Linked DNA regions of Oryzias latipes. The protein of the gene in region 2 interacts with the protein of the main gene of each other region in a pairwise test. Links are inferred from orthologs where the notes say so. Each region holds a gene or a part of one and is shown on either strand. Other genes may lie near its edges. The genes, in order: zbtb44, histone-lysine N-methyltransferase SMYD1 and fam204a.

Region 1 (3,648 bases), on a different chromosome or scaffold from region 2:
ATTTCATTAAATGACAGTGCAGTTTCCCAGCAGATACATTCAACAGAGTTCATGAACACCACAACTGAGCAGTGAAAACAATAGTCATCAATACAACAACACAAAGTCAGGACGCAGTCAAGTATTGGCAGAAGAATCTGCACTAACGGTTCGGATGCAGGTGAGATCTAAGGAAATAATGGGCTCAGCGCCCCCAGACTCCTCACCTGCTCTGGAAGTAGTTTGCTAGCTCGGATGCCTCATGGTTCAGACTCCTCAGGTGTACAATTAAATTGCCAGAGTTGGTGAACATGGCGCCGCATGTTTTGCACTCATAAATCCGCGGCTTGCGGATTATGTGTCGGGAGACCCTCATGTGGTGCTTATATTCACCGAAGGACGTGAATGTGGCGCTACAAATCTGGCACCGGAAACAGCGTTTACCTTCGTGCTTCAGCCGATGCATCTTTAGGGAGTAGGCCCGAGTGAACTTTTTCCCACAGCGGTCGCATTGGAAGGGCTTAATGCCTGCAGGGGGGAGGGACAAGAACACAACGGCACACAGGGACAAAATGTCATCCTCCACATTTTTACTATGGCCTTCATCACTAACACTGTCTCATTTGGATAACACACACACACACAAACACAAAAACAACGGACCATTTCTGCTCATTTTTGGCACATTTATTGTCATCTCGTGACTCAATCTTGCAGCAAATTCAAAAAATGTTTGGAACCACTGATAATATTAAAATCATTTTCTTTTGGATTTTTAAAATAGTTTTATGTTTGATACTTTTTATTTTTGTAAATAAATATATTAAAATGGTGGTGCTGTGGTGCAGAGGCAGAGCGGTCAACTTGTCATTGAAATGTTTTGCAAGGTTTGAATCCCTGTCTGCATTTCCATGTACCGAAGTGTCCTTGAGCAAGACACTGAACCCACATTGCTCCTGGTGGGTGTTTGGCAGCGCAGCCGCCATCGGTGTGTGAATGGGACTGTGACTGTACAGCACTTAGAGAGGGTGGTAAAGAGCTACACAAGAACACGCAGTTTACCATTTAAGTGTTCTGATTACTATAACTATCAATCAATGAATTATTATTTATTTTTTATGCAACAAGGACAAGTACACTGAAATTGAAAGTATTCTTCATTTTTGTACTTGTGAGCTATTCAAACAAAGCTTTTTTTTCATTTGGTAACAGTTCTAGGTTTATATCTTTTCTTTATTCAAGTTTTCTTCAAATTTAAAGATCTGTATATGTACTTTTTTGTTTTCTCTTAAATTTACAACGTGCACCATATTTTTCAGAGCATATGTCGCATTTTTTTGCATAGTTGGGGGGGGGGGGGGGTGACGTATGTGTGACTTTAAGGATAAATAGCAACAACCTCTAGAGGGCACTGAAGACTAGACTAGACAAAACAGCCATTATACATACAGGACCATAAATATTTGGACAGAGACACATTCTTTCTCATTTTGTTTCTGTACATTACCACAGTGAATTTTAAATAAAACAACTCAGATGCCATTGAAGTGCAGAATTTCAGCTTTTATTCCATGGGTTGAACAAAAAGATTGTATAAAAATGTGAAAACTAAAGCATTTTTTAAACACAATCCCTTCATTTCGTGGGCTCCTAAGTCATTGGACAAATGACTTCCATGCTATTGCATGGGCAGGTGTGGGCGATTCCCTTGTTATGTCATTATGAGTGAAGCAAATAAAAGGCCTGGAGTTGATTAGAGGACTCGTGCTTGCATTTTGAAGATGTTGCTGTGAACAGACAACATGCGGTCAAAGGAGCTCTCCATGCAGGTGAAAGGAGCCATCATTAAGCTGAGAAAACAGAAAAAAACATGCCAGAAATCGCTACAGTATTAGGAGTGGCAACATCAACAGTGTGGTCCATCCGGAGAAAGAAAGAAAGCACTGATGAACTCAGAAACGCAAAAAGACCTGGACGTCCACGGAAGACAACAGTGGTGGATGATGGCAGAATCATTTCCATGAAGAGGAACCCGTTCACAACAGCCAACCAAGTGAACAACACTCTCCAGGAGGTAGGCGTATCAATATCCAAGTCTACCATAAAAAGAAGAATGCATGAAAGTAGATACAGAGGGTTCACTGCAAGATGCAAGCCACTCATAAACCTCAAATATAGGAAGGCTAGATTGGACTTTGCTAAAAAGCATCTAAAAAAGGCAGCACAGTTCTGGAAAAACATTCTTTGGACAGATGAAACCAAAATCATCCTCTACCAGAATGATGGGAAAAGAAAAGTATGGAGAAGGCGTGGAGAAGCTCATGATCCAAAGCACACTACATCATCAGTAAAACACGGTGGAGGCAGTGTGATGGTCTGGGCCTGCATGGCTGCTAGTGGCACTGGGACACTAGTGTTTATTGATGACGTGACACAGGACAGAAGCAGCCCAATGAATTCTGAGGTGTTCAGAGACAAACTGTCTGCACAGATCCAGGTGAATGCAGCCAAACTGATTGGACGGCGTTTCATAATCCAGATGGACAACGACCCAAAACATACAGCCAAAGCAACTCAGGAGTTTATTAAAGCAAAGAAGTGGAATATTCTTGAATGGCCAAGTCAGTCACCTGATCTTAACCCAATTGAGCAGCATTTCACTTGTTGAAGACTAAACTTCAGACAGAAAGGTCCACAAACAAACAGCAACTGAAAGCCGCTGCAGTAAAGGCCTGGCAGAGCAATCAGAAGGAGAAAACCAGCATCTGGTGATGTCCATGAGTTCAAGACTTCAGGCTGTCATTGCCAACAAAGGCTTTTAACCAAATATTAGGAATGACCATTTTGTTTTCAGTTATTTCATTTGTCCAATTACCTATGAGCCCATGAAATGAAGGGATTGTGTTTAAAAAATGCTTTAGTTTTTCACATTTTTATGCTATCTTTTTGTTCAACCCATAGAATAAAAGCTGAAAGTCTGCACGTCAATGGCCTCCGAGTTGTTTTATTTAAAATTCACTGTGGTAATGGACAGAAACTAAATTAAAATAGAGGGAAATTCCACAGTGGGATTCTCCAATGTGGTGGTGAATGCAGACTGATAGAAAAACACAGCAGATTTTCAGTGTTTGGTAGTGACACATAAGAAGAAACTGATTTAGTTAATTGAATCTAATGTTTAGTCGACGTGTTAACATGTTCTTTATGGTTGTCTGAATAATTGTTCTGGTACTTTTGAGCATTTAACAGTTTTCAAATGTTCACTTTTTCTTCCATTTATAATCTGTCTTTTCGTTCACCTTAAGCTGATCCTGATTTGACCTCATTGAAGTGTTTTATCGTCGCTGCAAGTACCAGTAAAACAACATTTAAGGTGTTCTGTACTTGTTGCAAGGACAACAGTGTGACAGTGTGTGTATGTAAGTGTGCATGTATGCAAGCAGAAGTTCTGTTCCGAAGTTCCCTAAAGTCATTGGAAAGTGTGCTAAACATTGTTCGGCACATTGACCCCTGCACCGACCTCCTTAAACACCAGAGCCAATCCGGATCCTTTTCACACACCCTCTAAATGATTCTTCCAGGTCCTGCAGTAAGCACAGACCGCGTGGACGTCTCACCTACCCGAGTGTATGAGCATGTGCTGCTTTAGGTTCTGAATGCGTGTGAATC
Region 2 (4,423 bases):
ATACTGAGGTGTGCAGAAATGGCATGTAAACAGAACGCACATGGAGAATCTCTGCTAAACCAAATGTGGAAATTTATTGACTTTGGCCACCCCTGAGTGGATGTGTCAAAAGCTGAACTATAAGATGTTAACTCTAGCAATTTTTTAAATTCCAGGTATTTAGTCATTTAAATATTCTTTTCAGGTTTAAAAATGTGGTTAAAACAACTTAAAAAACAAACAAAAAAACAACAACCTTGAAACATACTTGAACTGACCTGAACAATAAATAACCACACGTCAGTTATTGTTCAGGTTGTAATCAAACCTGTTACAGAGTTATAGACCTCAAAAAGCTTGACTATGTTGGGATGATTCAACAATTTCATGATTCTCACCTCCCGAAAGAGCTTTTGCAAATTTACCACACAAAACTAAAGAACAGTTGCAGCTTTAATAGGGACGGTCAAAATTCTGATATAAAATATGGCTTAGAATTTATTAGGTCTTGATACAAAGAGCAACTCAGCACAAGCACCTCGCACTAGATGTGAAATACATTGGAGTATCCTTGAGTTAACTATATAACTTATTATGTATTTCAAAAATAGTTGGAAATACCACAACGGAACGGTAAAAAAAAGAAAAAACCTGAACCCAAGCTGAGATTCTGTAGGAAGACAGAAGTATGAACCAGAAAGATTTTAATAGAGGGGGGCAAAAATTGCATACAGTACCTACTGGATAAATATATTAAATATTTTTGCAACCAGGTTAAAAAAAAGAGGAATTCTGCTGTGATCACCAGAGAAAAAAAACTTAGATTTTTTTTCTGTCATTAAAAACAGCTCATATGTTTCTTTACACTAAAGAGTTGCATGGAACATAGCTGACTTTCATTCAGGGTTGAATGGATTGAAGACTGTGTCTGTGACATTTTTTTGCTCCTAAAACACTTTTGAGTAAAAAAATGTCACCTTTAACACAGAGCATCCCTAAAAATGTTTGTGATACACACATTTAAAAACTAAACTTGTTTCTGTTATTGTCGTATGTTTCTATCTCAAAGTAATGTAAAAGAAAATTCAATCAATAGTTTGAAAAACTGCCAAAAATGAAGGATTGAATCTGTCAGGGCTGGAAATGAACCTGTGCTTCGTGTCACTCAGTCATTTCATGACTCATTTTACAGGTAGACATGTTGGAGAAAGCACCAGAACAGAGTAGAGGCAGTGAGACAGAGAAGGACTGCAGAACTTTTTTCAGCTGCTCAGCGTCACCACAGAACCCTGATGGACAGACACAACTGAGGGACAAAAATAACCTTCAGAGGGCAACTACCACCTAAATACAGGGGGGGAGGCATAGAAATGCCATAAATGTAAAAGTCTGAACACATTTGAAAGACTCTTGGTGAGTGAACATCAGCAAGTCTTTTTTTTGGGTGATGTTTCAACCAATTTTTTATATTTCTTAATTTTCCATGGAAGACTTCTTTTTTCTTTGTGAACTTAAGACGCACACCTATTTGCTGTGGTTCGTGGTACAGTTCAAGAGGTGTGTGGCTATTTCAGTGCAACAAGCCATGAATGTGCAGTTGTCCCAGAAAATATAGAAAAGTTAGACTTTTGCTCCACAGGTCTGTCTGATAAGCTCACAGGTTATCCAATTTCAGGAGGAAAAGCACTGATCATGGAAAACGTGGTGATTTTTGACTCACCTGGGAAAGGGAGGGGTTTAAAGGCCGCCAAGGAGTTTTGGGCTGGAGACGTCATATTCTCTGAGGCCAGTCTTGCAGCTGTTGTATTTGACAGGTATGATGATAGTGCTAGATTTATTGGCTCTGTGCTGGAGATTTATTTAAATTGTATGGTATTTCTAATTATTTTTTTGAATAAATGTAGTGACTTTTAAACTTTTATACATGAAAAGAATTGCTTGACGACTGTATTTTTGATTTTAATTAATAATACAATCTTTTCTTTATGTGCAGTCTAGCGGAACGCGTATGCCACAGCTGTTTCCGCAGGCAAGAGAAGCTCCAGAGGTGCGGTCAGTGTAAATTTGCTCATTACTGTGATCGAACCTGCCAGCGTGCTGGCTGGGCTGAACACAAGCAAGAATGCAGCGCCATCAAAGCTTATGGAAAAGTACCAAATGAGAACATTCGGTAAGTGAGAAGGAAAAAAAAACACTGGATTATGAGAGTTTTTACGCTTTTATAGCATATGGTAAGGCTCTCATACAGATTTTTCTTTTAGAATACTTTATTCTGAATTTTTGTGTGTAATGTAAATTATGAAAAAGCAACTTTTTTTTAACTATAAGTCTGCGTAAGTGTCTACTATTATTTGTAAAGAACCATACATCTAAGCAGTTCATTAAGGTGTTTGTCCATAGAGGGCCATGTGTGCATTTCCTTGTTTTCTCTTGTGTGGTCAGGCTGGTGGCCCGGATTCTGTGGCGTCTCGACAAAGATGGGAGCACGGTGTCTGACATGCAGCTGACCACACTGGACGAGCTGGAGGACCACATCACGGACATGCAAGAAGACGAGCTGAAGGAACTCAAAGTGGACATCCACAATTTCCTGGACTTCTGGCCACGGACCAGCAAGCAGCACACAGTCGATGACATCTCACACATATTTGGAGTGGTACGTCAAAAAAACGCACAGTAGCATCCCAGTTCTGTTCTGTTATTCGTTTTGTTCGGAAGTGGAAGCAGCCTTCCTGTACAATCAAAAAGATGGCAAAGTGCCTGTTCTCACCAAACACAACTAAATCCAGGAGAAGAACAAGTACTGCAGTGCTGTAGAGCAATTTTCGTGTTTTTCAATTAAAAATCCAGGCATCTTATTAAAGTCAGAGGATCAATGACATATTTTTGTTACCACATTTTATTCGTTTTTATTGTAAAGCCTAGAAAAAGTCAGAAAAACAGCAATTCACGTACAAGAATTTTATTTGCGACATGAACTGGCTTTGAATGGATAATACAGTACTTACTGATAGTGGTCTCGGTCCAGCACATAAATTAATTGTTAACTAATTCTCTCATTTTGGTATTCTGTGCATTTGGTCTTTTACTGTAAACAGTAAAACTCTCAGCATATGAGTATACAAGAAAAAAGGGAAGACATATTTTAGGAAAACTCCTTAAAAATGTTCAATTTTTTCCTCCAGATCAACTGTAATGGTTTCTCTGTGAGTGACCAGAGGGGCCTGCAGGCAGTAGGAGTGGGTCTTTTTCCAAATTTGTGCCTGGTGAATCATGACTGCTGGCCTAACTGCACCGTAATCCTTAATCATGGCAAGTAAGTGCTGAAACAACAGACAAATGCGATTTTTCATCTCAGTTCTTTAATACGAAAAGTTCTGTGTGGTCTCAAGTGAAAAAAAAGTAATATTTACCAAATTTCAGAGGATTCGGGTGTGTTTGAGTGTACGTCCATTCAAAAAAATAAATTCTGGAACAAGTACATTTGAACAGTTTTAGGTCTGCAATAAACTGTATTTGTTTAGTACTGAGCCCCCCTGGTGCCAGTCGTTAAAAAAAAAGAAAATCAGATAAACCGTGCGCACGGATTAATCGATTGTGCTCGTACTGTTGCGCAATCGTGCGCATGCACACATTGCACATGCTTTGGGTTTGCAGGCAGGGGAAGGTGCTTTGTGACGGTGTGCGCAACGGAGGAGGCTTCTGACCGCAGTCCGTCCGGCTGTTCTGCGTGAGCGAGCTGCCAGACGCAGGAGAACCGTGTCTCCTGGCAGATTCGTATCTCCAAGCAGAGATATGAATAGTACAAATGTTGGAGCATTTGAGAACCCGTGAAAACAATCATGAGAATTTGTGTTACAGTCGGGTCCAGACATAATAAAAGGCTGATGTTATTCCAGCTTAAGTTCATCCACGGCTAAATGTTGTTAGCACGTTTTAACCTAATCCTAACCCTTCTGGGTCAGCTTGGTCAAGTAAAAAACACTGGCCGCACAGATTTACAAAATGAATTCATTCCCATTCATTCAAATGAATGGGAAGGTGTGTCCAAACTTTTGGTCTGTACTGTATATGCAAACATGCACTTTATAATAATCATAAGAATAATAAAAGCCCGTGCAAAAGATCATCTCGCTCTAAGTCGGAGCTTTTTTTACAACGGAACTCCCAATTTCTTCTTGTACGGTCGTACCCTACTTTATCCAGACCGATCACTATCTCACATGTCATTGGACCAACGTACAGCCAATCGAATAGTGTGACGTCATCATTAGTTGCAGGCCGTGTTCAGGGGCCTGAGTAATAAAACTGCATAAAGATGAAGCATCTCTTCAACTCTCAGGGTTTTAGAGGACTACTCAGAGATGAGTAAATGAATCAAAATACCACTTTGGGGCTGTTTTTGTTAGGAATTAACATTGAAATACACTTAAAACCTCAAAAA
Region 3 (4,316 bases), on a different chromosome or scaffold from region 2:
TGGAGTATGATTTAACAGTCGGGCTTGAAAGCAATGTAGCCTTCATTAAAAAGCAGAGCCAAAAGTCCTTTAGACAGAGCAGCACTTCAAAACTAAGGGGAGGGCTTTCCATTAAGTGAATGGAAAAGGGCTGCAGGACTGAATGGAGGATGTCTGCGTGTGTTTTTGTTCCTCTATGTCTTTGCGGCAGAAATGGCCACGGATCCATTAGCCTGATTTGTCACAGCAGGAGCACCCCAAAGATCTCTTATCGAGTCCACGTACCTCTCGAGTGGCGAGTCTGTCGCTCATCTCCTCCGCCTTTGCAAAGTCCCCTTCAGCGATGGCCCTCTCAATGTTCTTTTCTAGGCCGGACTGCAGCAGAGGGGGAAAGAATTTTCAAATAAGGGGAGAGGAAGAAAAAAAAAATCAAAGAGGAACTTCAAAAGTCCCCGGGGCCTTATTTTTAATACCAATGCCATTACCACAAATATGTAGATTTCGCTTCACAAATGAAAACCTTTTTGATTGGATATTAGTGGGAAAATCTTAGAAATGCTACAGGAGATTACCAAACATAAATGTGCTTCTTTAATTACACATTTCCATTACAGGCCTGGGCGAAGGGGGTTGCAGAGAAGCCCCCAGTTATGGCAGGGAAGCTGGTTCTGCCGTGATGAGCAGAGCGCCGCATTTCCTCAGCTCCAAAAACATTCTTATGGAACGAAAAGGCCTCTAATTATTCATTTACTCTTTCACTTTTTTCTACACATGCGCTCAAAAATAATGACATCATTTTAAATGAACGTATGCCACTGGATAAAACAGGACATCTGGTGTGTCTTAGTGGAACAACAGAGTGTTTCCGTGTTTCAAAGAAGATATTAAGGATGGCGGCCGGCCTTTAATGAAGGGAGCCGTCATTACGCTGATGAGACGACTCTGTTTTATTCAGCTGCTTCCTCTTGTTTCATCCCTTCACTTCCAAATGAGGCCGAAATCAGCAAAAACCCAATTTTCTGCTGCTGTGAGATTAATTAAGCACAAAATACTCCAAAATAATCATTAAAGGAATTTCAGAGCAGTTCCTATTGACCCGCTCAGTTGAATGTTTTGCTTCATTGGCAGTTTGCCTACAATGACTCACATCGATGAAAACGCTCTCATTGACAGAAAGTTTTCATTTTTCAATTATAAAAGTAGTTAAATGTTGCTATCTGCTTGTTAAGGAAATGTTTCTCTCAGATGCTTTTGAAGGAACTTTGTCTCCTTCTGTTGAACGAATGTTTAATGTCGGCGAAACGCCACGCGTTCATCTGAAGCCGTCAGAGATTCAAGCTAATCTCATCGGGAAACACGACAGAACGCGTGACTTTTAAGGAAGGTTCCTTTGTAATCCCCGCGTCACATCAAACACACGGCAGCACCGGCACACAAAGGATGACAAGGTGTCGCTAACAACTATGACAGAAGCAGAATGAAAGTGAAGAAGATCCGCTGGAGGAGAGTCTGTTACCTTTGGAGGCGGTTTGGAACAAGGAGGAGGCTGAAATCGATCATTTACGCCGAAATACTGCTGTAAGTCATTCCAGTGTTTCTGCTGCTCCTCTTCCTGCTCCCTGACAACAAAAATGGAGGCCATCATCATGGCTGAAGCTGCTCTGCTGAAATGAACTGCCTCAAACCTGCATTGGAACCCGGCTGACCTGAAGGAGTCAGGAGCAGAACTACGGCCATTTGTAACATTAACCAGAAATAAATCCATCTTAGAGTCAGACAGATCCAATACTAAACAACACATCAGAGAGTTGGTCATCGCTGTCAGACCAGATCCTGAGGACTGATCCCAGAGGCTTTTCCATCGCCAGCAAACACCCCGATGAACCTCATCTGAAGGATGTCAAGTGTGTCCTAAAGAAAATCAGCTGTTTGTCCAAAAACATGTTTTTCTGAAGGATTTAGGGTCAACGGGAAACATCTGCGTGTTTGATGTAAAAACACAAGCTTCATCAAATGTTGGAGTGAGATCCTGGGACCGTTACCCCTTCATCTGTAGAGTTACACTTCCTACACTACAAGTACATGGGCTATACTGTACTAATACTCAAGTATACTTCAAATAAGTGTAGTCCTGCGTTTTGTGAAGGGTTCCTGTACCTGGTTCCTGCAGGTTCCCGTCTTTCTGCTCCTGTAAATGAAAACAGACTCCTCATTAGGTGGAAACCAGTAACAGAACCTTCAGCTGAAGCTCCTCGTTTATCATAAATAAACCTTTTCTGCGTCTTTTTCTTCGTTTTTCGCGAATCTTTATCGTTTTCGTTTCATTTTTCCTCTTTCGCAGGTCCTGGAACTTCTAAAGGAGGAAACATCTTCAGTATTTTACAGCTAAGGACAGCACAGGCAGCGCTGTTAGATCGTGGAGAAGACAGAGGACTCACTCGCCACATTTCCTGGGGGACCCCCGGCATGTCGCCTGTTTGTGGGTTGCTGCCGCCGTGGGCGGACGCAGTCTCCGCCGTGGACGGTCCTGCGGGACATCCAGGGGGTTTAACCGAACATTCACCACCGTCTTCCTCATCTGGACTCAGGTCTTCCTCGGTCAAGCCTTTAGGCAGGAGTCCGCTGTACATTTTAATGAGCTCACTTTAGAGCAAAAATGGACAGAAATTCATCCACTAAACGCTGCGGTGACTGCGTGCATGTACTTCCGGGTAAACAACGTGACGTAGGCTCTGTGGAGGTGGTCATTGGCTAACAGCTCGAGGGGGCGGGGCGGGATGGAGAATATTGTCCAACCAGCTGTTGATCAAACAAAACCATCGATTATCGGGTTGAAGTCAAACGAAAAGAGAGAAACTTGAGTTTGGACTTGAAATTTGGCGTAAAAAGCGACTTTAGTGGAGTTTCGGAGCCTTTTGGCGGCCTCCGTTTTCAGAGCAGAGGCTGCTGGGAAGGAAGCGGCTTCCTTCCCAGCAGCCTCTGCTCTGCTGCTGCCTGTGAGATGGAGGCGCGCAGACACACTGCAGGTCCAGCTTTAGCAGGACTCCTCAGATGTGAGGCTGGTTTGTGTCATGTTCCGGCTGCGATAAGCCTCCCTCTGTGACCAGCAGCTCTCCGTCTGCGGGAAGCGCTGCGGGCTGACATTCCTATTAGAATGATTAGCATGCAAATGCGGCGCCGCCCGCGGACCTGGCGCGCGCCGCTCCGCACAAATTGCTCTTTGACTGCGTCCGCTTCCACTTTCTGCAGTTTGTTTCCATGTCGGAGCGAAAGACAGATGAGCAGCTGCAGAGTGTTGAAGCTCACTAAATATCTAATAATCTGTCACATAGGGATTTATTTCCTTTTGGTTTTTAAATCATTTTGAGGTTATAACATCATTTTTGTGAACGCAGCTTTAAACAAAAGAATGAAGCAGAAGGTTCATTTAATGCTCAGGTGGGCGTGTCTCTGCTATTGGTAATGATGACATTATGATTTCAATAAGTACATTTCTCTTGACTAAAATATAATTTAAGAAATCTTTAGCATAGAGAAACCGTAAAGAGATCATTATAATTTGTGTTTTTTTCTCTCTAATTAGTTCTTACATTTCAGACAAAAAGCTGCAGATTTTGGTTTCTGTGTGTGAAAAGTTGCTGTCTTTGTTTTGAAAGTTGTGTGATAATGCTCTGTGAACGCCACGCCAGTCATGTGACCACGGTATCTCCTGCAGTGGTTGACAGGCCGCAGCTTCACTGGGACTTTAATTACAGCGCGTGACAAGTTCATGAGCACATCAGAGATTGGATGTAAATGAGAGTCACAAAGCCTGGTTAACGCTGTTTTGGTTCTACTCTTGTTTTTATTGATTAGCAGCCTTTGTGTTCTATTTCACACATGAATTGATGCCCCAGCTTTGTTGCCCAGCGTCTTCCTGCCCCGCTTTCCCTCCTCCCTGCTCCTGGCACGTCCTCCAGTTCATTATTTCTGTCATTTCTTGGTAATTTGGAGTTGGCTTTTTAAAACTTAGAGCCTCGTATTAAGTTTTGGCCGTGCTGGGAAAGAGGCAGGACTGTAAGAGCAGAGAGATAAACTAATCATCTTAAAACCCTAATTATTAGTATCTTACTGTGACAGACTGTTTTTGCCAGCCAGCCAGATTGAGCCTCAAATGAGGAAAGGCGTATCTGTGTGAGTGGTAATAATTTAAAGTCATCTGGATCTGGCTGGTGTGGCAGAATTCATTAGCAGAGATTAGCACTGTGTGTACAAAGTAAATGAGATATCTAATAGCAAACATGGAGGTCTAGGACTCTTCATTTCCTTCCCAGTATGAGGGATGATGTTAAGAGGTG

What was found.
Region 1: the proteins of histone-lysine N-methyltransferase SMYD1 (region 2) and zbtb44 interact in binary tests that used the Homo sapiens proteins (3 or more experiments, as listed by UniProt). The link is inferred for Oryzias latipes from reciprocal best matches to the Homo sapiens genes SMYD1 and ZBTB44.
Region 3: the proteins of histone-lysine N-methyltransferase SMYD1 (region 2) and fam204a interact in binary tests that used the Homo sapiens proteins (3 or more experiments, as listed by UniProt). The link is inferred for Oryzias latipes from reciprocal best matches to the Homo sapiens genes SMYD1 and FAM204A.

Annotation. Positions count from the first base shown.
Region 1 is NC_019871.2:31,051,366-31,055,013, reverse strand, and holds part of zbtb44 (zinc finger and BTB domain-containing protein 44), read right to left. Parts: coding exon 3,601-3,648; intron 508-3,600; coding exon 207-507; intron 1-206. UniProt on the Homo sapiens protein: May be involved in transcriptional regulation.
Region 2 is NC_019867.2:7,701,995-7,706,417, reverse strand, and holds the start of histone-lysine N-methyltransferase SMYD1, read left to right. Parts: upstream 1-1,547; 5' UTR 1,548-1,671; coding exon 1,672-1,793; intron 1,794-1,972; coding exon 1,973-2,149; intron 2,150-2,421; coding exon 2,422-2,635; intron 2,636-3,164; coding exon 3,165-3,295; intron 3,296-4,423. UniProt on the Homo sapiens protein: Methylates histone H3 at 'Lys-4' (H3K4me), seems able to perform both mono-, di-, and trimethylation. Acts as a transcriptional repressor. Essential for cardiomyocyte differentiation and cardiac morphogenesis.
Region 3 is NC_019873.2:30,054,691-30,059,006, reverse strand, and holds the start of fam204a (protein FAM204A), read right to left. Parts: upstream 2,852-4,316; 5' UTR 2,610-2,851; coding exon 2,418-2,609; intron 2,333-2,417; coding exon 2,251-2,332; intron 2,168-2,250; coding exon 2,137-2,167; intron 1,599-2,136; coding exon 1,496-1,598; intron 355-1,495; coding exon 265-354; intron 1-264.